Mus musculus: one gene and its partners. The main gene of each other region encodes a partner of the protein of the gene in region 3 in a complex. Links are inferred from orthologs where the notes say so. Each region holds a gene or a part of one and is shown on either strand. Other genes may lie near its edges.

The links.
Region 1: the proteins of Gpsm2 (region 3) and Frmpd4 are in contact, whole or in part, in a crystal structure (PDB 4WND), measured with the Homo sapiens proteins. The link is inferred for Mus musculus from reciprocal best matches to the Homo sapiens genes GPSM2 and FRMPD4. Residues at the interface, in NP_001307967.1 of Homo sapiens: Leu25, Ala28, Leu29, Glu32, Asp57, Lys59, Thr60, Ser62, Ala63, Ile64, Ser66, Gln67, Asn70, Phe73, Tyr74, His85, Asp88, Ala92, Gly100, Lys103, Asn107, Asn110, Thr111, Lys113, His128, Arg143, Tyr146, Asn147, Asn150, His153; in NP_055543.2 of Homo sapiens: Gln988, Leu989, Leu990, His991, Ser992, His994, Met995, Glu996, Met997, Glu998, Pro999, Glu1000, Thr1001, Met1002, Glu1003, Thr1004, Lys1005, Ser1006, Val1007, Thr1008, Asp1009, Tyr1010, Phe1011, Ser1012.
Region 2: the proteins of Gpsm2 (region 3) and Numa1 are in contact, whole or in part, in a crystal structure (PDB 6HC2), measured with the Homo sapiens proteins. The link is inferred for Mus musculus from reciprocal best matches to the Homo sapiens genes GPSM2 and NUMA1. Residues at the interface, in NP_001307967.1 of Homo sapiens: Ala28, Leu29, Glu32, Cys35, Lys36, Phe47, Lys59, Thr60, Ser62, Ala63, Ile64, Ser66, Gln67, Asn70, Ala71, Phe73, Asn110, Lys113, Tyr146, His153, Lys157, Pro164, Gln165, Arg203, Gly206, Asn207, Asn210, Tyr213, Leu214, Arg228; in NP_006176.2 of Homo sapiens: Ser1901, Phe1902, Tyr1903, Met1904, Gly1905, Thr1906, Cys1907, Gln1908, Asp1909, Glu1910, Pro1911, Glu1912, Leu1914, Asp1916, Trp1917, Asn1918, Arg1919, Ile1920, Ala1921, Leu1923.
Region 4: the proteins of Gpsm2 (region 3) and Insc are in contact, whole or in part, in a crystal structure (PDB 3RO3), measured with the Mus musculus proteins. Residues at the interface, in NP_083798.2 of Mus musculus: Asn210, Tyr213, Leu214, Phe218, Arg242, Ser246, Asn247, Asn250, Ile253, Phe254, Tyr265, Gln283, Tyr286, Ser287, Asn290, Thr291, Thr293, Leu294, Arg323, Trp326, Ser327, Asn330; in XP_006507722.1 of Mus musculus: Val72, Asp73, Ser74, Val75, Arg77, Trp78, Met79, Asp81, Leu82, Lys83, Leu84, Met85, Thr86, Glu87.

The regions. Positions count from the first base shown.
Region 1 is NC_000086.7:167,484,391-167,491,625, reverse strand, and holds part of Frmpd4 (FERM and PDZ domain-containing protein 4), read left to right. Parts: intron 1-1,837; coding exon 1,838-1,927; intron 1,928-2,456; coding exon 2,457-2,639; intron 2,640-4,691; coding exon 4,692-4,830; intron 4,831-7,235. UniProt on the Homo sapiens protein: Positive regulator of dendritic spine morphogenesis and density. Required for the maintenance of excitatory synaptic transmission. Binds phosphatidylinositol 4,5-bisphosphate.
Region 2 is NC_000073.6:102,009,293-102,016,527, reverse strand, and holds the end of Numa1 (nuclear mitotic apparatus protein 1), read right to left. Parts: intron 7,235-7,235; coding exon 7,016-7,234; intron 6,912-7,015; coding exon 6,754-6,911; intron 5,696-6,753; coding exon 5,449-5,695; intron 4,648-5,448; coding exon 4,419-4,647; intron 3,787-4,418; coding exon 3,650-3,786; intron 3,360-3,649; coding exon 3,183-3,359; intron 2,999-3,182; coding exon 2,882-2,998; intron 2,791-2,881; coding exon 2,587-2,790; intron 2,293-2,586; coding exon 2,281-2,292; 3' UTR 1,569-2,280; downstream 1-1,568. Other genes in the region: Il18bp (interleukin-18-binding protein), read left to right, coding at 127-250, 338-578. UniProt on the Homo sapiens protein: Microtubule (MT)-binding protein that plays a role in the formation and maintenance of the spindle poles and the alignement and the segregation of chromosomes during mitotic cell division.
Region 3 is NC_000069.6:108,717,816-108,725,647, forward strand, and holds the start of Gpsm2 (G-protein-signaling modulator 2), read right to left. Parts: upstream 4,485-7,832; 5' UTR 4,226-4,484; intron 1-4,225. UniProt on the Homo sapiens protein: Plays an important role in mitotic spindle pole organization via its interaction with NUMA1. Required for cortical dynein-dynactin complex recruitment during metaphase. Plays a role in metaphase spindle orientation.
Region 4 is NC_000073.6:114,841,473-114,848,707, forward strand, and holds part of Insc (protein inscuteable homolog), read left to right. Parts: intron 1-650; coding exon 651-717; intron 718-3,544; coding exon 3,545-3,700; intron 3,701-4,979; coding exon 4,980-5,056; intron 5,057-7,235. UniProt on the Homo sapiens protein: May function as an adapter linking the Par3 complex to the GPSM1/GPSM2 complex. Involved in spindle orientation during mitosis. May regulate cell proliferation and differentiation in the developing nervous system.

The DNA of each region.
Region 1 (7,235 bases), on a different chromosome or scaffold from region 3:
TGCTGGGGAGATGGACCCAGGCTCCCTGGAGTTCACTGGGGATCATTGGGGATCACTGAGGCTCACTGGCCTGCCAGCCTTAGCCCACATCATGAAATACCATCTCAAATAAAGCAAGGTAACTGGCTCTCAAGGAATCACATGTGATATCCTCTGTCCTCCATGTACGCACACACTCATATACATGTACAGAAAGAGAGAAAGACAGACACACAGACACACAAACAGAAACACAGATACTCAGAGGCACAGACAGACAGACTGACACACACACACAGACACACGCACACACGTACACACACGTACACACACACACGTACATGTTTCATACCTTTTGTTCTGATTTGCCCAAAAATTGATGTCTCTTAAGTAGTTTGATTTGATTTTTTTTCAAGCCTGGTGCTGGTGGCCTTGTCTTATAATAGTTAACAACCACCAATATTAGTTGATTCTCTTATCTATTATATACATGTGTGTGTGTGTGTGTATGTGTGTGTGTCTGTGTCTGTGTCTGTGTCTGTGTCTATATCTGTGTGTTTCCTACTAAAACCTAGCATTTCTAGCCAAGACAGTGGTTTGCTTAAATTGTTTTGGGATTTTGACGAGATTTAGGATGAGTGAATGGTACAAAATCATCACTACAGAAAGGACAATACCTCTTGTTAGAGTTAGCAAGGGAGTTGAAAAGTCATATGTGATTGAAGTAAATTTTCCAGTCTTTGCTACTTAATGGTGATCATCTATACCTTGTTGAAAATTCACCTTTGATAAACATTCCTTATGTATTCAATATAAGACAGATACAGATTCTAATCAAATTCCTCATTTTAAATGGCACGAAAGCCAACATTTTTGAAGTCTCTATAAAGATCAGTTCTATCTAGATATTTGTAATTCATGAAACTCCATAGATTCTCAGAGTTGCATTAGCTAAATGAGGATTTTTATAGCAAACTCAAACCATTTCACAGTGATTGGAGATGAGAAAGTTCACTCTCCCTGAAATTCTGAAAAGAGTAGAAGAAAGTTGAGAGTGGAGGTATGCAAGGCTGCTTAAAAGGTTTTGCAGAGATCTCAGGCAGTTCCACAAATTCTATGTCCATTTGAGTCTCCTGTGTCATTAGAAAATTTACATACCACACTCTTCTTTGCCTCTAATCACAGTTGGGAAGTATCCCTCACCTATTGTAACCTCTCAGTGAACAGACATTTCCAGAGAGCAATGTCTCGCCCTGTTCTTACTTACTGAATGGATGAACCATGTGTACCTACTCAACATCTCCCATCTCTCTCTCTCTCTCTCTCTCTCTCTCTCTCTCTCTCTCTCTCTCTCTCTCTCCTCTCTCTCTCTCTCTCACACACACACACACACACACACATTCACACTTCTCTTACAGAAGCAATAAGATTTGAATCTTGATGTTACATTTCAGTCCATCATCAGAAAACATGAGATATAGCAATATACTGCCCTTCTTCCTGAAGAGTTTTTCTCATACCCCATCTCCCCAGCAATACAAGCATCCACTGGGGCTGGAGGCATAACTCAGTTGGTAGAGAACCCAGAACACTGGATTCTACCCCAGCACTGCATGCACTGGCCATGGTGGCACACAGCAGTAATCCCAACATTCCAGAGTTGAAGTTAAAAGGAAGTTCAAGAAGTTCAAGGTCATCCTCAGCTAAATAGGAAATTTGAAGATAGCCTAGGATATATGAAACTATGTCTTAAAACAGAACAAAACAAAAAGCGTTCTTGTCATGTGCCTTTATCTCCACAGTAGAAAGAGTTCCCACCCAGTGGAGCCCACAGTTAAGCTTTCTTTTCTTTCCTCAGCTCTCTGCACTACAAGCTAAGGTCCACTATCTCAAGTTCCTCAGCGACCTGCGACTATATGGGGGCCGTGTATTCAAGGCAACATTAGTGGTAATTTTATTTTCTTTCTTTCTGTCTGGAGTCAGAGGCATGCCAAACATCTCAGCACAGGCTGTCTTCAAGGAGTTGTCCTGGATGATAAACACAAAGAAGCTCAGAATCTTCCTTGTTTTCAATACTAACTGACTTCACCACACTCTGAAGATAACTTAAGACCTGTTCAATCTAGATAGCTTTGCTGGAGCAGCCCTGGGGAAAAAATGGAATCAAAGGACTCTTACAATGGTGTCTTTTCAATCACTGAGATAGAAGTGGGGAAAAACCCTTCTCACTTCTAAAAGTTTTGGATATATATAAATATATTGTATCATGATAACATTTACTTTCTACGTTATTCATAATTTATTGGCACCTCCATACACTCATATATGAGTCCACCTAATTGGATGATTTAATGCAATGTAACCCAGAAAACCTTTCCAAAGAATATGTCGTGATATTATGAAAAGAGTCTCAGGCTGAGTTAGATGATGCTTCAGAAGTCCAGGCTTTGAAATATTCTGTCATTCTCTTTCCTCAGCAGGCAGAGAAGCGCTCAGAAGTAACTCTTCTGGTTGGTCCCCGGTATGGCATAAGCCATGTCATAAACACCAAAACCAATCTGGTGGCTCTTTTAGCTGACTTCAGCCATGTCAACAGGATTGAAATGTTTACTGAAGAGGAGAGCTTGGTGAGGGTGGAGTTGCATGTGCTAGATGTGAAGGTGAGCCTATCAAATGTTGATCTGAAGCACTGGCTTGAGCAGCTCATTTCTGATAGCCTTGATGGTACTCACCATGCATGAAAGACTTAATGTGTGCAAGGCCTCCAAGATGCCACATTGTGAGAAAAAAGTAAATAATAAATTCATACAACTCCGGTCTAGGTGCTCTAGTCCTCATTAAATTGCTGTGTGATTGGGGACAGCTTGTTATATTTCTTTACACACAGTTTCTCCATCTATACATAAAAAAGCAAGTTATATCATTTCTCAGTCCCTTCTGGCTGTAGAATACTGAATCATATATCACTAGGGAGAATGTGTTTCCACCACACTTTCTAGACTGGATTTCTCACGTGGAAAGTCAGTGAAAGTTCCCCCAGCTAGTTAGAATTGTCATTCATTCTCTTTGGTTAAATTGGGATACCCAGTCCCAACGCCAGGCCCAGTCTGGCAGAGTTGGAGGAATAGATTCAGGAACACCGGGATGACTGTAAAGCATTTCTTCAGAGCAAATCAGAATGCACCTGCATGTTCTGCAGCAGGAACATGTTACCATGACACAGCATGGAAGCTCACGTGTCACCCGTGCACATGGAATGTCATGGCCTTAACCCAGATGGCTCCTCTTGACTTCTTAGCCAGACACAAGTGTGGCAAGATTGGTGGAATGCCTATCCTAGCTCATGGCCCAGGATGCTGGGAGAAAGCCACATTGAAGGGAATGGGCACAATGAATGTGAGCTGGATGTTGTTACTAGTAAAAGGATTAGTAGGTCCCACAACAAAATGAGTGAGGAGACCCGGCTGATGATCTAATACCTACATGGGTTGGCTGGCCTAGAGGCTGAGCAGAGATGTCAATTCAGATAGAAAGGTCAGTTTGGGGATTTTGAATAGGAAATGTTCCAATGACCAGAGTCCTCCTGAGAGCTAGATATCTGCTCTTTTGCTGTCTTGGCCCCATTTGTTGTCTGATGTAAACTTATTGCCTCCTTTGCTCTTTCTTTCAACAAGAACATATCCCTTCAAGCCAATGAGAATGACTGCACCATAAGCACTTCCTTCCACACACCAAGATACATGGCCTCTTAGGAGCTCATTGTTTCCAGTTTGAGCAGTGTCTCTTCCCAGCTCCCAGCTCCAGCTTGCATTTGTGTAAACCAACAATTTCATTTTAGAAGCATCATTTTCTCGGGTCTCTTTGGTGCTCCCCATCCAGTTATAACCAATATTTCGACTTGTGATTTCTTTCTCTTGAACACTCATTTTCACCACAGAGCTCACATTTTAAAAATGAATATGCATGCATGTGTGCATGGAGTGGCTTTTATAAGCCAAAAAGATGGTATTGACTGTCCTGGAGCTGGAGTTATAGGCAGTTATAAGCCACCTGAAGAAGGTACAGGAAACCAAGCTCTTTTTTTAAGTGGTTATTTTATGTATTTACATTTCAAATATTGTCCTCCATTCCAGTTTCCCCTCAGCAAACTCCCTATCCCATCACCCTCTCCCTGCCTCTATGAGGGTGCTACCATCACCCACACACCCACTCCTGCCTCACCACTCTAGCATCCCTCTATGCTGGGGCATCAAGCCTCCACAAGACCAAGGGCCTTCGCTCCCATTGATGTCAGATAAGTCAATCCTGTGCTATATATGTAGCTGGAGCCATGAGTCCCTCCTTGTATATTCTTTGGTTGGTTGGTGGTTTAGTACCTGATAGCTCTGGTTAGTCTAGTTGGTTGATATTGTTGTTCTTTCTATGGGTTTGCAATCCCCTTCAGGTACTTCAGTCCTTGCCCTAATTCTTCCATTGTGCTCAGTCCGATGGTTGGCTGCAAGCATCCACATCTGTATTGGTGGTTCCTGTATAAAGGAAACCAAGCTCTTAACCAGGGCCTTCTCTCCAACCTTGAATCTCTAAAGTTCTCCCCTGATTTATGCTTCTCCAGAGGAATATTTTCTCAGTATCTTCTTTTCCTTATAGGTCATAAGAACTTATAAATACTTTCAGCAGGAAGACATTAATGAAAATTTTGTTTTGTTGTGCAGCCCATTACACTACTTATGGAGTCATCAGACGCCATGAACCTGGCCTGTCTGACAGCTGGATACTACCGGCTGCTTGTGGACTCCAGGAGGTCAATATTTAACATGGCCAACAAGAAAAACGCAGGCACGCAGGACACAGGTATTTTCTTTCTAAATTCATGATCCTCTTCCCACACACCCTTTGAGAACGTACCCCAAAATAATAATAATCAGTAGCAGAGTTCAATAGGAAAGTGCTATACCTAAGGTTGCTGATTCCAAGGGCTGGGGAGATGGGAAATACATTCCACACAATCATGGGGACCTGAGTTCCAAGGGCCAGAGTGCACATAAAGCTAGATACATAACATGTGTCTGTATTCCCCGTGTCCCTACAATATGAGAGGCAGAGACAAAAGGATCCCTGTGAGTTTGTGAGCTAGCTAGCCTGGACTATACAACTCATAAGTGAACAACAAAGATCCTGCCTCAATCACAGGAGAGGACAAAAACCAGAACCTAATGTTGATCACTGACATCCACATGCATACCAGAGCATATGCATACCTACATACACACATACACACACAAAAAAAAACACACACACACAGAGATACATACACACAAACATATATACACACGTACATACATGATACACACAAACATATATACACACACATATATACATGATACACACAGATACATATACACAAACATATATACATACGTACATACATGATACACACAAACATATATACACACACATATATACATGATACACACAGATACATATACACAAACATATATACACACACATACATACATTATACACACACACACACACACAAAGAAATTGTGATAGAGTGCTTGCCTACCAAATATGAGAGTCTTGGTTTAATCCCCATTAGTATCAAGAAAAAAAGAAAAGATAAGGTTCTATCTATAAAAAAAAATATCTAACTTCCAAATATAACACAAAACTTTATGTACTGGTAACATTGATTAACTATTAAAAATAAACATGCTGATTTGCCCATTTCATCTGAAAAGTCTCTTGGAAATGACAGGGCTCATTTCAAAAGCAGTGGTTTTATTGCTGTGAAGTCTTGACAGCCTTTTCCTTTTCCTGCCTTCCTTCCTTCCTTCCTTCCTTCCTTCCTTCCTTCCTTCCTTCTTTCTTTCTTTTCTTTCTTTCTTTCTTTCTTTCTTTCTTTCTTTCTTTCTTTCTTTCTTTCTTTCTTTCTTTCTTTCTTGTTTTTTTCTTAGTGTTTGGTCCTAACCTAGTCATATATACTAAACAGAAACTCTTCCACTAAGCTGGTTTCATGGTCCTGTAGCTACATTTTCACTGTCTCACTCTTGAAATGGCTGGGACTCTGAGAATGAAGCCCCCTGACATAGAGTTTTTGTTTCTTTAAATTCCTAGGCTAGAGCTTTGACATCTTATAAACTCACTAATTGTACTAATTTGCTTTGTATGTATGTATTTATGAATGTATGCATGCATTTAGTGAGACAGAGTATGTAGCCCAAGTTGGCCTAGAACTCACTATGTAGCCCAGACAATCTCAAGTTATAGCATTCCTGACTCAGTCTCCAGAGTACTAGGATTCTCAGTGTGACCCACCACACCTGTTCTAGACTTGGATGTTCTAGAAAGAACTTCTTCCACCCTTGTGCCATCCAGGCAAAGCTAACAGAGGTCACTCCAGCCACTTGATAGGAGAAAATATTCCCATAGATGGGACAAAGAGGATGATATATGTTAAGTTGGCTTTTGCACTGAGTGTAAGTAATTATAATTTGTTTTATGACTTTTGCTCTAGTCTATATTTTCTTCTGTCTGCAGTGGATGCCCAATATATGGCTCATAGATACCATCATGCAAGTCAGAAGATGACATATTTAGAATTAAGGGTCTTACAAATAGGACTTCTTTTAAAAAATGAGAACTACATGCTAGACAGTGGCACACCTGTAATCCAAGTACCCAGGTTTTACTTGGTGTTAACTCACTCAGGATCTTCATGAGTTTGAGGGCACCCAGACCAAGGAAAGCTAAAGAACAAGACTATGTGTCAAAATGACAACAATAATAACAACAACCAAAGAATTGTAGGGCTTTTGAGCTAGCTCAGTGAGTAAAGGCATTTGCTGCTAAGGCTAGAATTCTGAGTTTGGTCTCTATGACTCATGTGGAAGAAGGAAAGAACCACCTTTTGAAAGTTGTCCTCCGACCTTTACATGCTTCCCATGGCATATGTAAACACACACACACACACACACACACACACACACACACACACACACACTCATTGTCACTATCTCTAGGGGAGAAAAAGGAAACAGCTTTTTTTATTTTCAAACTGAGCCCCAAACAATAAATCTTCACTGTAGTATGTAGATATATATTCATGTGATGTTTATTATTATAGTCAGGGGGAATAGAAGCAGTTTTAGCCATGAATAAGGCGCAGCCATACAAAAGAATAAGAAGGAAAGATAGACAAAACATTCTTAGAAGGCAGCTTTGACTTTCCAGACCACTTTAAGTGGTATGGGTTT
Region 2 (7,235 bases), on a different chromosome or scaffold from region 3:
CCTAGGTTGCAATTTTCCTATGTAGGTAGGACACAGGTCTTATGTTTCTGATTTATGACTAAGTGGAGCTTGGCAGGATAGGGGCCTCTGTTTTATAGAATAACTAACAGTCAAATGTGCTCCTAGATGGAACTCTGACCTTGTCCTGTACTGCCTGCAGCCGCTTCCCCTACTTCAGCATCCTCTACTGGCTGGGCAATGGTTCCTTCATTGAGCACCTCCCAGGCCGGCTGAAGGAGGGCCACACAAGGTAAGGGACCTAGCAGTGGGGCTACAAGAAAGACCTTCCTCCTCCCCAACTCCGGCAACCCTCTCACGATTTCCTTCTGCTTTCCAGTCGCGAGCACAGGAACACAAGCACCTGGCTGCACAGGGCCTTGGTGCTGGAAGAACTGAGCCCCACCCTACGAAGTACCAACTTCTCCTGTTTGTTTGTGGATCCTGGACAAGTGGCCCAGTATCACATCATTCTGGCCCAGCTCTGGGTAAGGAACCTGAAAGAAGGCATCCAGGGATGGGAGGAACGCTACTACCTGGGGAAGGAAGGATTGGCTTTTCCAGTACAACCTGTAAGCTAGTGACTGTTTTGAGATCTACCAGAGGTGGAAGCAAGGAACATGGGACTGCAGTGACAGCAAGTGATGGCAAGAGCTCTTCCTTAGCTCTGACCATGTGTGCATTTACTTCTCCAGGATGGGTTGAAGACAGCTCCGTCCCCTTCTCAAGAAACCCTCTCTAGCCACAGCCCAGTATCCAGATCAGCAGGCCCAGGGGTTGCATAAAGCCAACCACACCATGACCTTGACCAGAGCCTGGCTCTCATCTACCTGGAGGGTGGAGTCTACACCATAGGCTGTGATTGCCTTTCTGCTGCTGAACCTCAAACTCAAGCTTCACTTCTACCCTAGATTATCATAGTAATTAAGTCCTTAGAGTTCTTCCTGTTTGTCCTCCTGTCCATCCATCCAGTTTACCTTTTCTGATGTCTTATTCATCCCACTGGTGTTCTGGAACCTCTGAGACCTGATGACACCTTAGCCAAGTGATAGCTCTGCTTACACTTAACGTGAAATTGAGATGCCTATCTGGCAGATTTCTACATCCTGTACCAATCAAAAAGGTTAACCCGAAGCCTAGTTGAGATATAACTTTGGCAACATCCACTCAGCTCTGACCACTATCTGCACTGACTTCAATCTTTACATGTGATTTTGTTTTCCTAGTTTGCCCCTAATGTACTGTCCCCAAGGCAAGGACGGAACAGTGGCTGCGTCAGGTCACAACTGTATATGTCAGTCTGTGTCTCTGCAGGGCCCACACTGAGTACTCATAAAGCTGCAGCAGCTCAAGGTCTCATTTTTATTTAGACCCTGGTACTGTCCTCAGGAACTCTGCCTGACTCAGGCAGCATGAGACACTGCCTCTTGCCAAATAAAAATTCAGAATAACATGAACCCCTGCAACAGTCCATAATACTAGTTAGGAACAGGGGCCAGAAAGACCAAACACAGGCTCCAAAGAGCTGCAATTTCCCCTTTTTCCTCATACTGACCCAAAGAGCTTAGCACTCAAGGGAGAAAAATAGACTTTATTTACAAGTAATAACATTTAGAAAAGATCCATCCCCGGCCCTTAAAAACCTCCCCATCGTTCCATATCCTACCCCAGTGCAAGTCTGGGGAAGGTGAAGTATGAGCTGCCATTGAAGGCTGCCCCCTATCTCACCCCTGAGATCCAGAACCTATCTGTCCTGGAAAAAAAGCATCCTCCAGGCAGCTGTATATGGAAATAGGTAAGAACAGAGGCTCCTACCAGGTCATGCCCAATCCTGGGCTTCAAGAGCAAAGACCCCTGCTAAGGCCCAGCCACCAGGAACAACAGAGAAGCAGAGCCTGCTTCTCCAATGGTCCCTTCTAGGTCCAGAGACTAAGGAAGACTGGGCTAAAGAATCCAGTCTCAATCTAGTTAGATGGAAAAGTAGACTTTTTTCCAAAACAACAACGGAGGGAGAAAAAAAAAATCAGGAGGCAAGATAGGGAGAAGACCACACACTGTCCAAGCTCCAAGCCTCCTGGGCCATCTCTGAAAGACGCCTAGAAGGCACCAGGCAAAGTCCAGGTAGCAGGCCAGGGTGCAGGCAAACCTCATTGTCTTGGGGAAGGCTGGCCGCCATTGGCCTGGGAGCTGAGAGAAGGCACTGAGGGACAGCAGGAGGGAAAGGACCAAGCAAGGTCAGTGCTGACAATGCAGTGGGGCCACGTAAGCACTGGTGCTGACTCTTTAATGCTTCACCTGAAAAGGAAAAGACAGTCACTTGGCCAGATTAAGTCCTGTGTTGCCAACCTCTATTGACTAGTTCACAAAACCCCTGGCTGGACCTCTTCCTTTTTGGGGTCTCATAAACACCTACATTAAGTTATGAGTTGCCAGCCACACCTAAGAAATGTGGGGTCCTCAATTATGAGTGGCTAGCCAAGACAGAGATACCTCTTGCATCCCACCCTCCTCCAGTGGTTTGGTTTGGGCTTGCCTCGAATGCTGCCCTATGGAGTAGTCTAGAGGATGGTCTTCCTTCTACTGCGTTACCTTGCCCTTGGCCCGAGGAGTGGTGGCAACAGTAGCAGTGCCAGTTGTGGTGGTGGCAATGCGTGGAGAACGGCGGGTTCCACTGCGAGGATTGGGGGAGACCTTTGCTGGGGTCTTCTTTGAAGCTCCTCGCCTTAGAAGACTATTTCCCAGCTTCTTAGGTGTGTTAAGGATGCTGAAAGCCATTGACTGACGCCGGTCCGCCTATGGGGAAGGTCTGTCAGACTGCTACTTTTGAGCTCTGCCAGCAAGGCTTCACTTGGCCTTCCTTCTTCCCCTTGGGTCCTGGACTAACCTGTTTGAGAACTGGAGCTGCTTTCTTCTGGGTGTCAGCAGTGCTGCTCTGCTTACGTCCTTCATGCCGGTCCCTGGGGGTCATGGGGCGTGGAAAGCAGCTGGTAGCTTTCTTGGACTGTGAGACAAGATAATTGGGCAGATAATGGCAAAAGGACATGCTCTCCCTACTTCTGACAAAGGCCTTTCCAACGGTCTGTATATCTGCCCTTGGAAAGAGACTTCCCTATCACTAAGATTTGGTGGGCTGGTTCATGCCTGGGTATAGTGCTAAAGACAAAATAGATGCACACATCATCTACCTCAGGAGTGCCAGGGCCCTGGTGGGTCTCAGAGGAAACTCGTTTGCGCTGCTGCCTGGTAGTTATGCCAACACCCTCAGCAATCTGAGCTGGCTGCATGCTGGCTCTACGCAAGGTTTCCCTGGGGTCTCCAGTCTTCATCTCCTCATCAGTGATGGTGGCCAGGCTCAGGGTAGGCTGCATGGGACAAGAGGCAACAGTCAATGGGCCCAACTGTATAGAGCAAGAACTAGGGCTAAAGCTGGATTCTTAAAACTCCTTCCTTCCTGTTGTTCATGTTGACCTATACTTGATGGATAGCTAACAATTCCAAGCACAGTCATATCTGACTTCACTCCTGAGTGACAGCTATTCCATGACCTTCCAGTAGAATGACCTTCCCAGTAGACCAAAAATATCTATGACTAGATATTCAGGCTAGCCACTAAAGTCAGTGTGGAAGGTCTTGAGGTGACCTCACATCTCACCCTGGACTCCAGAGGGTAGCAGGTCTTCAGGTGCGGGGGGCATACTCGGTTGCGCTGCTGCAACTCTGCGATGCGGTTCCAATCATCCAGCTGCTCGGGCTCATCCTGGCAAGTGCCCATGTAGAAGCTATTCCTCCCTATGGAGCACAGAAAGTTAGGGCAAACACGGCAGCTAATACACCGTCTACTAATCTGGCCAGGCTTTTGTTGCCACTGTTCACTCCCACCTTTCTGGGAGTGGGGACTTCGGGCTAGATACACAAGTTCTGTATTGATGTTGCACAGCAAAAGTGCCGTACCAAACCATTTGTCTCATGGAGGTGCTTTCTCAGGGGAGATCAGAAAGAGTTCATGACCAGAGGCTGTAGCATCTTATTCACTTGCCAAAGCTTGGTGCCCCACACCAAGAGAAACTGAGGGTCATGAATTGATAACCGGGGAGGGTCCCTAGATCCTAAGGACAACTTCCAAGAAACTGCTGGGCAGCCTGACTTTACCAAGCCCACTGTTTCTCAGACAGCAGCCTGGAGGACTCCCCCAAGAATCAACTCGCACTAGGAACTGTGTGGAAATCTTAACTAGTGAGCATCCCTGGTTCAGTGTGTTCCCTTGCAGTCCTAGATAGGAGATGGCACAGGTGAGTGAGGGGAAGCAGCTCTGGCATAGTAAGGAGGCCTGCCTTGAGCTTTTGGAAGCTTGCCTCTTTTCCAGGCCAAGATTTGCTTCCAGTCTAGACTGGGATTCTGGTAAATTCCTGTAATTTCCTCACCTTGGGGGGCCCCACTGGACATCCTGGCCTGGGAGCGACGAGCAGAGCTTCGTGTGGTAGGCCGGTAGCCAGGCAGGCTAAGCAGAGCGGAGTTGCCATCATCAGGAGAACCCAAGCGGGCCAGAGACTGAGTGGAGGAAGTGGCTCGCAAGTTGGCCTGGGAAGCAGGAGCAGACTGCGTGCTGTAGAAGGATGAGTTGGCGCTGTCTGGCTCTTCCAATTCTAATTTCTAGAAGGACAAATCATTGCAGCAATACTATAAACCAGCACCACCTCCCTCTGCCCCAAAGCTCTCAGATACCACACTGCTTTACACTGCGTATGGAAACAGGCCATACAGCCAGAAGCATCTTGGAAGATGCCAAGATTCTTCTACCACAACATTTTGAAGGAGGCATTATTAGCCTATTTCAGAGATAAAAGCAAGGCGAGTACCCTCTACTCACACAGCTAGGAAGTAGCTAGGCTAAGAGCCAGAACCCCTATCTCCTAAGCTATCTAGATGGATTCAGCCCACAACCTCTGCTGTCCCTAGACCCACGGTTCCTGGGGCCTAAACTAATTATCCCCAAATTCTCAGTAGTAGAGGGCATAAAAGCACCTTCCCACCTGTTCCTCAGCCCACTAGAGACAGGGAAAAAAAGAGAATCTAAGCCTAGAAGCAGCAGACCATTGAGAGCCACACCAAGCTACATCCTGGCTGCATGGCGTGCCAGAGGCTCGGAATGAGCTGTTATTTCCTCTATCCTGCTCTGTCTTCCGTCAGACAGGAGAGAGGACTCTGGCTGAGTTCAATTCCTAGCAACCACATGGTGGCTCACAACCATCTGTAATAGGATCTGACTCAGTCTTCTGATGTGCATGAAAACTGAGCAATTGTATATATAAAATCAATCTAAGAAGAAAAGAGACCATAAACAAATCTATGCCCTTTTAAAAGATGTTGTTCATACCTGAGTGTTCCTGATTTATGAGCCCTGGATAAGGAACTGGTGTTAATATCCAATAGTCCTATGCCCAATAACCTAACCTTGGTCATAGTGATGTTGATGATTTGTGTGGTACGGCGGCGAGCAGAGCGGGTCTTACGGCCGGAGTCAGGGAAGGCATCCCCCAGAGAGTCAAGGCTAGTCTCCAAGGGGGCCTGACCCCGAGCAGGAGTGGGGGTGAAGTAGAGGCTCTCCAGGGATTCCACTTTGGGGGGCAGGCGCTGGGAGATAGGTGAAGCTGGCTCTCCAGGGACACTGGTACCATCTGGTTGGGTACGAGGCAGCTTGCTGTAGCAAAAGACATTTGCCGAGATGCAGACCCTGAGCTAGAAGACATTATGTCTGTCTCCTTGCCCCAAACTGACTTAATCTTATTACAGGTAAATGTGGTAAAATACAGTACCACTGGTCTTTCAGAGATAGCAAAAGGGGGCCTTGACAGTCCACTCTTGGCTGCTCCTAACCCTTTCCTATAGCAGCTCTCAGATCTCTCTACCTTAGCCCAAACCCTGCTCTTCAGGTCAGACAGCTATGGGCCCAGACCTCCCCCCCAGCAGATGCCACAACTGCTCGACAATTAATGGGGCCTACCCTAAACCCCTCTGCATGTTCTTCCTCCTCTATCTCCTACTTTACTAAGTAGGGACACCTTCACATGAACATGGGTGTAATTGGACATCTTCTACCATACACAACCATGGTCAACATCCAAGAAGCTCTCCTAGCTGCACACTCCCTTCCCTCAGCCTCAGTTCATCTCACCTAGACCTAGACTGCCATGAGACACTATAAAGTAGTGATAAGCAAGAACTCAGGACAGGCTGCCAGGCTCAGACCTGGCTCTATCACTGTGGATCCCCCAAAAGCCCAATTCTATCTGTTTAAGGAGAGATAATGAATAGAGCCTAAAATGGTTGCTAGGAGAAAGCTGAAGTTGTAATTGTTCCAAGAACTGGGAACACTGGCACACAGTACAGTACACATTTGATAGAAACAGTAACTGTACTGCTAACCTTTGACTTCAATACTGTCAGGAAACTAAGATGCAAATCCAACCTGTAGTCCTCAATTTCAGCACTTCTGAAGTTTATCAGTCTTTAGTGCAGTCAGCCTCTAGGCTCGCAGGCCTACTTGGCCTCGCATTAAAGGCTGCTCATCCACCTCTGCATAGCTGTACAGTTTATCAAAACTCAGAAAAGCTTCCCCCAAGGCTTTCCTAACTGCCCCACCTCACCTCTTTTTCACTTCTACTGTACCCTAAGCAGGCATCTGTCGTAGAAGAACCACAGGCTAGAACAGCGCACACTCAGTGAACAGGCACAGGATAGAGAGGCATGTCTCCTAACCTAGCCACACTGCATGGGGTTCCCTCCTCCAAACTCAGATCCAGGCTGTCAATACTTAAGTCCAGCTGGGGTTTCACTTGAGGCTCACGGCTCTTTAAGGCATCAGTTGCCACCTGGAATTTGCCCAAGTCACGAAGCTGCTGGTCTGCATGGGCAACCTAGGAAGTAAAATAAAAAGCCTAGAGTAGGGGTGGCCTTGGAGAGGAGATATGGAGTACAACAGTACAGGGGTGAGGTGCTTCTGTTTAAAGTAGGTTCTTACCTGGGCCTCCAGGCTGCGCACCTGGGCTGTAAGGTGACGGCAGGTCTGTTCAGCTTCCTTGGTCTTCAGCCCTGCCTGCTGCAGCTCACGGCCCAGACGTTCAGCTTCAGACCGCAGCTCCTTGTTCTCCTTCTGCAGTTCCTCCAAGTCTTGAAGCTGTTCCTGCAGCTTTTGGTTCTGCTGCTTCTTGGCATCATAATGGGTCTTGGCTTTCTCCATC
Region 3 (7,832 bases):
CTTTTCCTATTTGTAGTCTTTTAGTTAGTAAAAATGTGTTTGAATTTTACCTTTCTAGAGACCACACAAATTAAACAAACATTATATAAGAGTTCAAAGAAATACGTATAAAATAGTCCTATGACTACTATTATTAGAGGAAAAAAGGAACAAATATTAGTCAACAATGGTGTGACGGTTTGAATATGCCTGGCCCAGGGAGTGGCACTATTAGGAGGTGTGGCCTTGGTGAAGGATGTGTGTCATTGTGGGCATGGGCTTTAAGGCCCTCCCTGGAAGCCAGTCTCCTGTTTGCCTTCAGAGCAAGATGTAGAACTCAGCTCCTCCTGCACCATGCCTGCCTGGATGCTGCCATGCTCCCTGCCTTGAGGATACTGGACTAAATCTCTGAACCTGTAAGCCAGCCCCAATTAAATGTTGTCCTCATAAGAGTTGCCTTGGTTGGTGCCTGTTCACAGCAGTAAAACTGTAACTAAGACAAATGGGAAGTATACAACTCTAAGAAAAAGCAGATACCAAACCGCTTGAAAACCACAGCCATTCATTATCACAGCAATTCTCTCACCTCTGACTTCCCTTTTCAGTTTCAATTACCTACAGTCAATGGTAGTCCAAGGCTATTACATGCTCAATTCCAGAAAGCCAATGTACCTTTAAGACTTTACTTATGAACCATTCTGAGAAGCAGGATGAAATGCCCCGATTCTACCCAGACCGTGAATCATTCTGTGTCCAGTGTATCCATGCTGTATACGTTACCTGCCCTGTTAGTCATTTACCAGTAACTACCCTGATCTGCAGATGTCACAAGTCCTCCTTCAAGTCATCTTATTTTAGTTAATAATGGCTTCAAATCACAAGAGTACAGATGATGACAATTTCATTACATTATATTTCCACAGTTGCTTTAATTATTGTATGTATTCATCCTTATGTGCATTGGTGTTTTGCCTGCATGTATGTCTATGAGAGAGTGTCAGATCTTGGAGTTATAGACAGTTGTGAGCTACCATGTAGATGCTGGGATTTGAACCCCGTTCTCTCAGTGCCGTTAAACGCTGAGACATCTCTCCAGCCCCTAATGGCTTTATTTTATTATTAGTTATTGTTAACTTCTTACTTTGTCTAATTTATAAGTTAATTATCATAGGTATGTTTATATAGGAAAAGACTGCTTAGGAGCTACTCAAGGTCTCAAGACTGGAGGCCTTCAAAGTGTCTCCCCTGAGGATAACAGGCTACTGTACCAATGGTGCTCAACCATCAACTTTAATCAGTCAATACATGTGCATGACAGTTTACAAGCTGAACAGTGAAACCCAAAAGAACTGGCCTTTCCTCGGTAAACAGCACTAGATCAGTTCTCTTAAAAAGGCAGTACCAACTTCAAACATTTTAAAGCAAAAATGAATCTTAATTGCAAAACTTTATATCCAACCAAAGAAGGGCTCTAGAAAGTGAGTACAGAATTCCTTGTAGGAAAAGAAAAAAACCCATATAAAACACAATCTTATATATAAAACATATTACTAAGCACCTTCTATGGAAGGAAATGTTTCTACTCAGTTTAATTTTATGAGGTTATAGCAGAACTCTAATTTAAAAGGACAAAAAAACCCCAAACCCTCTGTGGAAATAAGGAAATGTGTACTGCAGGCGCTCCTATGGTAGAACTTATTAGGCAAACAGAGTAAGGCGTTCTATTTAAGGGAAGCAACTGAAGCAAAGAGGTGGGGTGTGTAGACACTCCTGGGAAGCACATTGGTCAGAAGTGGAAGAGAACATGACCAAACTGTGAGGCTTGCACTGTCTGGCTGAAGCACCTATTAGGCTCTGTGTGTGTGTGTGTGTGTGTGTGTGTGTGTTTTCCAATGGGAAACTTGTAGGGTTATTATTATTCTTTTTTTCCAACAAAGAAATAGCAAAATTACATGTTAGGACAAGAAACAGGCAGCATCACACAGGGCCAGATGAGGAGACAAGGTGAAAAGTACTGCAAAAACTCAAAACTGACTAAGGAGCCTCTCTGCCCACTCAGGACATCAGTAAATATTCTGTGCACCACAGATGTCCAACCATCTAGGTCTGAGAATGAGGCTGGGGTGTAGCTCAGCAGAGCAGGAAGCAGGTGAGGGCAAGAACTGGGGTTCAACCATCAGGATAAAAGGGAATTCTGTAACCGTGCAAAAACAGAGTTTATAACACATTTCTAACAGTGGAGAAGACTATATTTATATTCTTGCAGATTCAAGTAAACTTTGCTCTGTGTCTTTGGAAAGGTTAAAAGCTATGGGAAGTGTTATTTGCTTTAGAACACACACACAAAGCGAGACCATCGTTACAAGGGTAGATAGATCCCTCCACACTTCATAACAAACCACCGACTGTATTGTGGTTTTAAGTAGAATTATGTGCCACAAGTGGGATTCAGAAACACATGGCCATTTAAGTGCAGTAGCTGGTGCTTTGAGATTAGGGAGTAGTCTCAATCCCACCAGTAGCCTATTAATTACACAGTTTTAAAAACAAATGCCCACAGGTGTGTGGGGTGAGGGTGGGGGTATGTATGTTTGTTTGTTTGTTTTTAGGTAAGTCTTGGAGTACTTTATGGGTAAGAAAGGTGAAGGCTGAGGATGTGGTTTGGTTTTGCTCGGCATACACCTGCCCTGGATTTGACCCTAAGCATGTATGGTGCACACCTGTAATCACAGCACTGGGAGGATGGAGAAAGAGAATCAAAGAGTGCAAGGCCAAATTCAGCTATCTGAGACCCTGTCTCAAAACTACACTGAATGAATGGAGGGAAGGAAGGAAGAAGAAAGTCAGCCAGCCATTTCATACCAGGTGGAATTTGTGCACATATTACAGCCCAGTAGCTGTAATCCCAGCTACTGGGCTGAGACAGGAGGATTCCAAGTTCCAGGCCAGCCCTAAACATTTAGCAACAATAGGTCTCAAATAAATGAATGAATGAATTAATTAATTAATAAATGAATAATCTGGAATTACCTCAGTGATAGAACTCTTGCTTAGTGTTCACATGGTTTAGAGTTCAAACCCAAGTACAGAGGAGGTGAGGTGTGGGGAGCCACACTATATATAGTGCATTACCTTTGTAACTAGCCTACTATTAAATCTCAGGTTTACATCAAAACATACTTGTAATAGTGTATGTCTGACCTACTGAAAATTCAGCTAAACTATTTTTCCGTGGGACACGCTTCCACAATACTCCACAGTCTCTGAATTCATAACCAGTCCAATCCTCGAATTGTAAGTTAGAAATAGTTTGCAAGAGGGGCCTATGAATGCCTAGAACCGGCCGGGCATCCCTGAACTCCCCCACTGCCCTCAAGTCAAAGGACAGGAACCTTCGCTTTTGAACTTAGGCGGAACGAATCTCTGCTCTTAGCACGTCGAAACCCCAGGCAAAAGTGCTCTTTACCAGAAGCAATCACGATGGTTACTAACAAGCCGGAAAATCTTCAGTTTAGCCTTCCAAAGAGGCAGTCTGAAAATTCTGCTTCGCTGGTGACAAAAACTTACAACACAAACCACACAGCAGTCCAATCAACACAAAGCACCGAGAGGAGAGTCAAGAACTTACCTATTCTAAGTCTACCCGGCGTTTAAATAATGCATTAAGGCAAATAAACATTGCCATCATTACTCGTTTCAACAGAGTTCAAATGATACTTGTTAAAGCCACCTAATTGTTTACCATTAAAATACAAGGAAATTACGTTTTCCACTTTTCATCTGAAGATACTAAGTTTACAGCTTTCCGGCTAAGATCTCAAACATGTTACGCTTGCTATAAAGCTGGTTACAACGATCTATCAGTTTCGCTTGCCAGTAAGTCTGGGATCCGAAAAGTTCAGGAGTTTAAATGTGACTTGACAAAGGTGTCTGGTGTGGAGACCCGGGGCCGGCGACGTGCCTGGGATTCGAATCCACTGGGATTCGGCTTTGTATCCACCGTCTGTTACGCTCGGAAAACGCGTGAAGTCGCTGCATCCCAGCAAGTATTTTCAAGGTCTGCAGAAGCCCGATCCCCAGTCTCCCCTCACTTAGGGGACAACAGCCTAAATGGTGCGGGTGCGAAGCCCCCCACGGAGCTCCCGGGTCCCAGCGTCACCCGAGCCCGTCGAGCCTCGGTGGTCCAGAGACCCCCGCCCCACGCCCCCACACACCCCACTGGGTCACCCCCTCAGGCTCCGCTCACCTCCCTCCGGCCCGCGGCTCCTGAGAACAAGGAACCGCTGCAGGGATGAGCGCCTCTGGCCGTAGACTAGGAACCGCGGCGCTTCCCCAAGTCGGGTCCCGGCGGCGACGCCGAGCCAAGCAGGGGCACCGCGGGAGGCTGGCGAGCGCCCCGGGCGCCCGCCCCCGGCAGGTCACGTGGGCCAGAGCTTCGGCCTCCCCCTGGCCTCTCAGAGGGTCTCACCGCCAGCAAGGCTCCCTCAGCGCCTGTACTCCTCTGCGCCTGCGCCTAGCTCCAGGCTCGCCCATTCAAACTGACAACGCCCCGCGTTTTTTGGACCGGCCAATGGCACCGGTGGGGCGGGGCTAGGCGGGTGGAGGGCGGGGCTAGACGAGCCAGGGCTCCCTCCTTCTAAAGATCTGTGTGTGGGGTTTGCCTCTCGGACTGTAGCGCTTGATTCTCCTCTGCTGCGGATAGATCCTCCGCCAACTAGAAGCTTATTGTCCTCGAATTTCTCCTTCAGATGGCGAAAAGTGGGACAATAAACATCAGAGTTCAAGCTGGGTCTAGTTCAGACTTTGAACCCAGGAGCCCCAGTCCACTGCCTCTTTCCCTGCAGGCTCAGTCCCGCCCTGGGAAAGTCTTCCAAGAGGCAGATGTGAGAAAGAAAGAGGCCTGTGTGAAAGGAACAGAGGGTCCCGTGTGAAAGTCTGAACAAGGAGCCTCAGTTCTTGAGGCAGTGTCACACACAGTTCTGGCGTTTCCAGATGTTGGGAAAGCAAACTTCTTCTGACTGCAGGATCGCTGGTTCCCAGGAAAAGCAGAGATGGCGAATTTAATCCGCTCCGGCGGCTTGCATTCCCATTCTATTCATGCCTTCATATCAAGTTCACCAAAAAATAGATCTTAGCTTGTTCATCAAATGTTTAAACTAGAGTCTCTGCTGTGAAGCTGATGACGTTGGTTACATTACATTATCTATAGCCACTGCCTATTTCTCCACTGGGATGAAATTTTAATGTTTTACAGGATTGGGCACCTGTTAAAGAAATTCTAGTTTCAGCATCTCTGTGGTGATGGCCGTGACCACTATATGTGTGTCATGGAAAACTGTATAGAGATAGTGTTAGCACCAGCCAGACCTGGGTTTGAATTTCAGCTCGGGCCTCTTCCTACTGACTGATTTTGAACCAGTTAGGCGTCTGTCCTCTGTAGCCTTAGCTTCCTCAGCTGTAAAACACAGATAATGAGACCTCCTCTAATAAGGTCTGTCATGATGCTTCAGGAGGTAAAGTTTATGAAATGGTTAACACAGCTGCTGACACATCGAAGCTGTTCAATAAGTGGTTCTCTTATTATTATCAGCGAGCACCCTTAATACCAAGTTCTTATAAAAAGCTGAATTAGCTGGTTGTACTATTTCAGAGGTAGATATTATAATTCTTCCATACTCATAAATTCTTTGTGGGAATTGGTACAGTAAACCACAATAAAAAGTATTTTAAATTCTGCATAGCCAAAGCGAATCGTTTCTTTCCTGTGCCCCCTTCTCTCATAGATTGGACTTTTTATCTCAGCTATCAGCAATGTCTATCTTCCTAATCAGTTGAACTGTTTTGTAAATCTTCTTTCCAAACGCATGCATCCATGAGATTGTGCCATTCTTCTACTTGAAGACATTTAATGGTCAAAAAACAAAACAAAACAAAAACAAACAAACAAACAAACAAAAAATAACAAGAGTCAGGTATTGTCTCACATACCTTTAATGCCAGATCTTGGGAGGCACAAGCAAGTGGGTCTCTGTGTGTTTGAGGCCATCTTGATCTATGCAGTGAGATCCAGGACAACCAGGGCTACATAGTGAGACCCTGTCTTTTAAAAAATAGAATATATATTTATATACACCTACTTTTTAATAAGTGTAGTTGAGAGTATTATATATGTAATATAAAATCCACACAGACTTTGAAACTGAAATATGACATAGAATATTTAATATATTTAAAGAAAGAAAAGCATGAGAATAAATGAATCAAGGACTACAAAAACCCAAAACTCTCTATATAAACCATATATAACTATATATGTATATATTTATGATAGCTTATACAAATATCCTCAGAGGACAGAAGGGCAGCAGAACCTAGCCCACACAGACTTTGAAGTGCAAAACGACATAGGTAATAAAATAAGGAAGGTTAATGTATTTAAAGAGACAAAAGCATGAATCAAGAACTGGAAAAAAAAGAGACAAGAACAGGAAGGTTTTCAAAAGAAAAGGAGAATTCCAATGAAACTTTTAGTATAATAGGGAAGCAACTGACATTTTAAGTTCAGTGCACAGGTTTGACAAATTAAGAGATGAAAAGTGAGCCATGCATGAGGTGCAACTCAGGAAACCATTCTCAAACAAAAGAGAAACGAGGAAAGAGACTGAGATGCCCCAACACGTTTCCAGTTAAAACCTAAGATGATGGGGCTGGAGAGGTAGCTCAGCACCACGTGGTGGGTTTCTACCCCTCCAGAACTCCAGTTCCAGGGGATCTGACGCCTTCTTCTGACTTTCTTGGGCACCAGGCGGGTGGTACACCAGGTCAAACGCTCATATAATGTTCTAAAAAAAAAAAAAAAGTTTAATTCAAAAATAAGGCTGGGAACACAGCTCAGTGGCACATGTTAACTCCCAACACCAGAAAATAAAATAAAATAATATAATATAAAATAAAATAAAATAAAATAAAATAAATGGCAGGGTATAGTGGTGCATGCTTTTAGTGCCAGTACATTTCCTTTCTTTATTAAGTTGATTATCTCAGGAATTTTGTCATAGTAACAGAAAGCTAGTGAACAGTGAAGTGTATCTACTTGGCTAGTTAATGACAGAGCTAATCTGTCTCAAGGCTATGCTTTTGACATCTCTCTTTACTGTCCCTTACTAATTCAAGAAGAAGTAATAAGTACAGGCATATGTGAATGGCTAAATTAACACTACATACTTAGTATTTCAATTAATACTAAATACTTAGTTTTTAAAGAACTGTTAGGGAAATAAGTGATCTAATATCAACAAAGGCAACAACCCAAGAGAAGGACCAGCCCTTTGCAATGGAAATCCCAGTGGCTACAGTGGGTCTCCACAGGCACTTCAGCTTCTCCAGCTTTTAAATAATGCAAACACAATGGCTGGGACGATGTGGAGGCTTCCAGTCAGCAGATGAGACCAAGTGCTTTTGGCTCCCGTGGTGCCATGTACAAATGAACTACCTTATTGCTCAAAGGACCACTTAGCAGGGTAAGTTGCATAGAAGAGACGCAGGAGTCTCCTATGACTGTCCTGAGTCCAACTTTAAAGAGTTGGCTCGCTGTTCTTACTCAGATGTTCTCCTCTGAAGATAATTCCTCTGTTTTATGATGCTATTATCAGTCTTAATTATGGGATTGCAAATGTGCCCAGAGGTCCCATTGGACACAGTATCCTAGCAACCTAAATTATCATCATAAGGAATTCTTTCTATTCTCAGTGGTTACACTCCACCTCAAATATTTGTCACGGATGCTTACCAGACATTGGCCTTTGAACCAGCATGACCTCTGTAGGGCCTGTATCTCACTGATGGAAAGACCT
Region 4 (7,235 bases), on a different chromosome or scaffold from region 3:
CCTTTTATCCCGCTGTAAGGACTGGAAAGTGTTATAGCCCAAGAGACAGTAACTGAGGGTGGATGTCCATGGAATGTTAGTGTTCTATCATTAATGACAGTGTCACTGTGAGGGTTAATGGCGATCTGTAAGTAAGGATGGTAGACTAGAGGTTTCTAAAGTGTAGCTAAACTGAACTTTCTCATCAGCTTGCCTTCTGGCTGGAGCTCAGCCTTAATTCATTTCAGGTAGAAGGTCATTGTCAAGAAAGGAAATTGACATGGGGGAACCCAATCAAAGATCAAAGAATCAGGAGACAAAGCCAGAACAGAAGAGAGAAAGGGGTCTAGAATCGTAGGGGTGAGGCTGAGGGTCTCTGAATTCAAACAACTGGATCTTAACTTCATTCGTTGTGAGTCTGCTTTTTACTGGAACCCCAGATGATTACCCTAGAGCCACCCACTGACTAGTGGGCATCACTGGGGCTTACATCTGGGTGGCAGCAGCCCATGATGTAAGGTAATAGAAGACAATACCATGGAAGGGCTAGGCAGATGTATAGTAAGGATCCAGGCTGACAGAAGCTCTGCAGTCCCCATATAACCTACCCACAGAGAGTGTCATGGGGACCATGCGTGTTTGTTTTATAATTTCTCAATTCTGTTTTCCAGATTGTGACCATCTTGGCAAACATGTCTGTGCTGGAGCAGTGTGGCTCTGACATCATTCAGGAGAACGGTATGTCTGGGAACGCTGCATGGATTATCAGGGTATATGCCTGTGGGCTTGTATAAATCCCATGTGTACATATATAAGTGCACATATGTTTATATGTCTGTATGAGCATACACACACACACACACACACACACACACAGAGAGAGAGAGAGAGAGAGAGAGAGAGAGAGAGAGAGATTGAGAATTTTGTGTATAACCTGGTCAAAAGTGAAACGCTTATTTGCCTTCACAGGCTTAAATTCTAGTGGGAGATATAAAACATAGAAGACAATGCCAGGTAGGGATAGTGGTCTGGGGACAATAAAGCAGCGAGGGAGGTAAGGTTGTCCCAAAGTGGGGTAACACTGCTATTTAACTGCCTTATTGCCTTTGGCCTCCATGGAAAGCTAACGTGTGGGAAGGAGGTAGGGGGAGGGGGAGGGGGAGGGAAGGACAGCCGCCTCTACCCCTCTCCCAGAGGACCTTACTTCCAACTGGCCTTCTCTGTTCCACCTTGTGTGTTCCTGGTCAAGGGGAGGTGGAGCTGGGCTTGTCAGCCTGAAGGCTGTTGTAAGCAGTCTCTGTCAAAAGACAAGGTGGCTGCCTTGCAGCTGGGAACAGAGCTAGGCTGGCCAGGGCTTCCTGTGATGGAGGAATAAGGGAGCAATTAGCAAGCAGTCGGAGGCCAGAGGCACTAATGAGAGAGTGAGCTGGGAGGCTGGGTACCTCTGCTCTCCTGAAAGTCCCTTCCCCCAGGCTGCCCTGCTGTCTTAACAAACATACACTTCCCCGGTCCCCAAGACTAATTGAAACACACCATTTTGTGTTAATTTCATGTGATTGAGCTAATAATGAGAAACTGTGCTGAGCCAGCTGAGGCCAAGAGGAGAGGCTGCGTGGTGTCACTTGTACTCTCCTTAGGCACTTGGAGTCTTGGCTCAAGTGGCCAGTGACAGCAGGCTGCCACTTGCCTGAGCCTTTGAGCTTGGGATAGCTGCCATCTGGAGAGTGCTTTGTGGCTTACAAAGTACTGTTGACTAACTCAGTGAGTCCACAGGGGCAGAAACCTACTGTGTGCCTGGCATTGTGCTGGACATTGAGGACGTGGAGTTTAATGAAGCCCCACATTTCTCCTAAAGGCTTTCCCTGACCAAAAGGAGGGCCTGCCTGGACTGAAGTGTTGATGTATAAGATAGGCCATCTAAAACAGTACAGTCACCGAGTGAGGATGGAGGGTAGCAGAGTGTTAACTCTGGAGCCACACCTGGTGGGCACAAATCCTGGCTCTGTTATCTACAAACAGTATGGGCTCTCTCTCTTCCCTCTAAAAAGTGGGAATAGCAATGTTTGCTCACAGGAGTGTGTGAGGATGGCCATGAAGAGTGGTGTCAGGAGAGTGTCTATACCCAGGATGAGCCCTGCACCAGGTTTACCTTTTCTTTTAGGAAACAGTGTGAGCCTCCCAGGATTTCATGCAGAGAGTTTGAGGAAGGCAGGAATTGAGGAATCCGAATGATAGTGATGTACTCAGAGGCCACTAGAAGCCAGGAGACTCCAGGTCTCTAGAAGGGGAAACCCTGTTAGATAGTCTGACTTTGAACACCCATTACTAAGTCACAGGTGGTAAACATAGATGCCTGCAGGATCCAGGCACATAATGAAAATGGACAAAGTGGACAAGTATTCGGTCAATCTCATTAATAATAGTAAATTTAAGACAGGTGTGTAGGCATGTGCTTATAATCTCAGAATTCAGTAGGAGGGTTTTGAGTTCCAGGCCAACCTCAGCTACATAGTCAGCTCCAAGGGAGCCTGAGATACCCAGCACACCCCTATCATAATACAAAACAAAATCAGAAACAAACAACAACAATAAGCTTCTGGCCATATAGAGATATATGTGGGGTCACTACTGCCAATTCAGCAGGTAAATGTTACAAACCAGAAGTCTAGATTATTATGGAAATCAACAGCTCACAGACAACATAATTCTTGAAGCAACACTGTGAAGTAAACCTATCTTTAGATCACGTTTAGTTGAAGTTCTCAGCCAGCTGGTTGGGACTAGGATGCTGGGGGTGGGGGCAGCTCACACAGAAGACAGGCTTCCGCTGAAAACCTGTACAATGGAAGATATTTGAAGAGGGAAAGGGGCGTTCCCCACAGAAAGAGTGGGCAAAGGCAGGCTGATGGTGTATGTGTGTGTGTGTGTGTAAGCGCACGCGCGCGCGCTTTATATGCTTTATAGACCAATCAGGAGACAGATCTTGCTTGGGGAGGAGACAGGAGGACCCTAAGTGACTAAACAGAGCCTCTGGCTGGCACTCCCACCTGGAATGCAACTGCTGTAGTGGTTCTCCAGCCTAAACCCTCCTGCTATGGGACACCTCCTGCTATAGGATTCAGTACCTTTGACCTGTCTCAGATGCAGCCCTATCTGAGTTTCACACAGCATCCCCATGCTTTGGACATGAGGCTTACTCATTCTGGACCTTAAAGTAGAATTACCATGGTCATGTCCATGAGACTGTTGGGATGTTTGAGGGGACTGTTTGTTTCCTGTACATATAACAGTGTGAGACATACCATAAAGTCAATAATGTTGTTTTAAAAAGTGGGGGTGTCTTTTTAGATGTTTCTTTCCAGGTTGGTGACTTGGTGCCTAGAATCCCACATCTCTATGAAGTAGGAAAGGAAAGAGGTGCCCATATCTAACTGGCACCTCTGTTTGAGACTCCCCTACCCCAAGCCTTTGCTCGAGTCCTCCACCTGTCTAGCTAGCTCCACTAGGGAAGCTCTACCCTGGGAGTAAGACTAAACTGTCCAAACTGTCCTTGCTTCTTGCCCAGGTGTCCAGCTCATCATGGGCATGCTGTCTGAGAAGCCAAGGTCTGGGACACCTGCTGAAGTGGCAGCCTGTGAAAGAGTACAGCAGAAAGCTGCAGTGACCCTGGCCCGCCTCTGCCGAGACCCAGATGTGGCCCAGGAGGCCGTTCGGCTCAGCTGTGAGTGGCGCTGGCTGTGGCTGGAGTGGAATGGGAAGCTTGGGATGAAAGTAGTGATCTCATGGTGCTGTCAGAGGGCAGCGTATTAGGACTAACTGGGGTCAGCCCCATGCTTTGTGTGCTGGGAGATGCTAGGGTAGAAACCCTGGGCATAGCCCTTGGTCTAAATTGTAATGAGAGATAAAAGTTGGCCAGAAGAGCAGCTCACCTGCAGGCTCCTGTTGCTCAGAACCTGAGTATTTCCTTCGCTTAACCATTTATTCTTTTATCGACTGTTTTCATTCATTCTGCATTCATACGTTTATCCTCTCAGTAATTCATTGACTCCATTATTTATCTAGTCACCATTCACTTATTTATGCTCAGAATATCTATTTATTCTATTTATTGTTATTAGCCTCCTATTTGCCTGAATATCACCAGAACCTCCATCCTATAATAAGCTCTAGAACAGTGGTTCTCAACCGTGGATCACTTATCAGACACCTCTACATGACAGATATTTATGTTACACAACAGCAAAATTACAGTTACCAAGTAGCAACAAATAATTTTATGGTTGGAGGTCACCACAACACAAGGAACTGTATTAAAAGTCACAACATTAGGAGGGATGAGAACCACTGCCCTACAGGTGCACAATACCTTCCCTGAATGGTGACAGGAGAATGGTCTGCACGTGAGAATCGGGAGACTGATGCTCAAAGCACATCTGGTAGAAGAAACAGGCCCTGCGTATCTGTGTGGGTTGATGGATGTTTTAGCAAGGTCACATATCTTCTTTGTGGCTTGTGGCAACATTTTCTCAGTAAACCTCTCGGAAATGTTAACGGGGTTTATCTTTTTCTCTACTTTTAGCTAAGATATATTTTCTCACTGACATAGCCAATTGAGGCGATGTAGGTGGGAGATGTCAGTTGGAGACCTCAGTGCACAGGCTTGAATGGTAAACATTGCACTTGTAAATCAGCAAGTGTGTACTCCAAAGGCCTTGCTCAGAGAAAACAGGCAACATGCCTGCAGTGTTTGGCGACCATCAGCCCAGGCTGTTGCTCTCGCACTTGTGGGCTTGACTTCAACACTGTACTTTTATTGCCCTTGAGCAGGAAGTAGAAAGTCTCCTGGAAATATTCCTCCAGGTGGTTCAGCTTCTTCTCTGCAGACAGGCGCTAGCATGTACGATGCGTTAACATGTCCGATGGGTGAAGCTGGCCAGCACCTCCATCCCACCTGGCCAGGCTTGTCTAACCCAGTTGTGATCTGCTTGTGTCTTGTACAGGTATGTCTCGCCTGATTGAGCTCTGCCGGTCCCCCTCTGAGAGGAACAGTAGTGATGCTGTCCTGGTGGCCTGCCTGGTGAGTTCTCAGCCTGCCTTCAGCTTACCTCAGGGTTTTAAGGAAGGTAGACTAAGGCCAGGGCAGCTGGTTCTGTCACAGTTGGATATAAGCCTTGATGCCTCCCCATGCTTTTCCTTCTCATATCCAAATGGCAATGCTGATTGATGCTCATTCCTATTAGTATGTTGAGACCCATATGCAAAATGAGGATTGAGAAGCTGTTATCCATCCAACCGCCACAATCCCAGTGACCCTTTAGGTTCTAGGGGCTCCCAACAGCAGATTGAACCAGAGACATGTGCTGGAGGGCTGCTAGGTGGTAGTGTTGATATCATGGAGTCCCCAGAACACAGGGGCCAGGAAGTGGACAGCTGTCTGTCCAACGTGAACAATTATGAGAAAGGTTTCTCCTTTTACTCCCAGGAGGAAACCTCTGCCAGGCCCTCTGGTGTGGACATGACTACAGAGGGCATGACAGGTAGTGAGGCTTACTCCACCAGATGCTAAGATCTCCTCCTTGAACCCCACCTAGGCTCATCACACTTCTGGGTACTAGGGGTTCACCTTGAGCTAACCTGCTCTAGCAGATGGGCAGCACATGCTCTGTTCACACTTATCTTCCTATGGGCTGTGATGAACCACTGAGCAGAGTGGCAGAACAGACCGAAGTTTGGGCTTGTGGAGAAGCTGTCAGCTTTCAGGAGAGAACGCCAGATCTTTGGCCCTCAATGTACACATGGGAGAAGCAGTGGGTGGAGGGTTCCTTCAGGCTGAGTCATTGCAAAGCCTTCCTCTTGCCCCATTCTTCACTGAGCTCAGCTCATTTCTGGGAGTTCCACATGGGCACTGTGCAGTTGTAGAAGCAGCTGGTATTGCCATCAGTGGGCCTGACCTCGCTGTACCTTGGTGAGCTGTGTTGTTGAGTAGATCAAAGTGCTATAACTCTTATCTAGCAAATATTTGCTGAGGGAATTTATGTGCCACTTCCTCTTGTAGGTTGTGGAGATAGTTGTGGAGACAGTTGGGAAAAAAATTTCCTGCTTTTATTCTTGGACCTTCTGGACACTCTTATCTTTTTGTGCCTTTGGAAGTCTGGGGAAAATTTTTAACCTCTTCTACAAATCCTTTCTTGACATTTTCACATGTGTATATAGTGTATTTCAAGCAGACTCACCCCCATTAACCCCTTCTAACCCCCCATCCACTCTGAATTCATTGGCCCCATCTTCTGAGTAATTTTTAAATGCATAGAAAATTAATGTAGAGCTTTAAAAGGGCACCAATTATGTTAAAACAACTATTCTATACTTATGCACATAGCATATTAAAATGTGCTTGTTCATGGTAGTAAATACTATTTGGAGACACCTTCAACATCTTTTATGAGATCTGCAGATTTCTGTGTTTTCTGTTGAAGAGCAATGTCAGATATCAGCTAGATCCAGTTTGTTTCAACATTGACAACCAATGAAGATGTTGTTTTGAGAGGGATTAGTTGAAAGAAAGAAAGAAAGAAAGAAAGAAAGAAAGAAAGAAAGAAAGAAAGAGAAAGAAAGGAAGGAAGGAAGGAAGGAAGAAAGCAAGCCTTGCTTCTCCACGTTCACAGGCCTTCTTGGGTCTATTTTTCTATCAAGTAAAACAAGGAGACATTCATAGCTGACAAGCACATCATCATTGGCCCCAACTCCCTGATCTTCCGTGCTCTGGGCAGCAGCAACTGCCAGACTGAAGGGCTTGAAAGCTAAAGTTAAGGACGCAGGGAGCTCTTGGGATACATAGGCTGCTACCATTGTGAGGGCTTCTTGCTATCACTACTGGCATTTTTACTGCTTCTTGAGAGAGTACATAGATGTCTTGACTGCTGTCTTCAATCTAAGAACTCTCAACTGTAAAGGGACTACACTTGTTCTTGTGGACAAATGGGTGGATGCTGAGAGGGTCCCTATCTAACCCATCCCCCGTGTGGATGCTGGGTACGTTCTCATATGAGAGTTTGACTCGTGATGTTTTTTATCAGACATATGGAAATTTCCATGGTTCTCCACTAGTTACTCCACCCACTGTTCACTTACTGACCTTCTTAGTGTGGCTCTGCCCTAGTACTAGCCCTGAAGGCCCCTTGCTCTTTCCAGGTTTTGTACAACTCTGCCTGGCAGCACTATTTTGACCCACACCCCAAAACAAACATCGTCTTTAC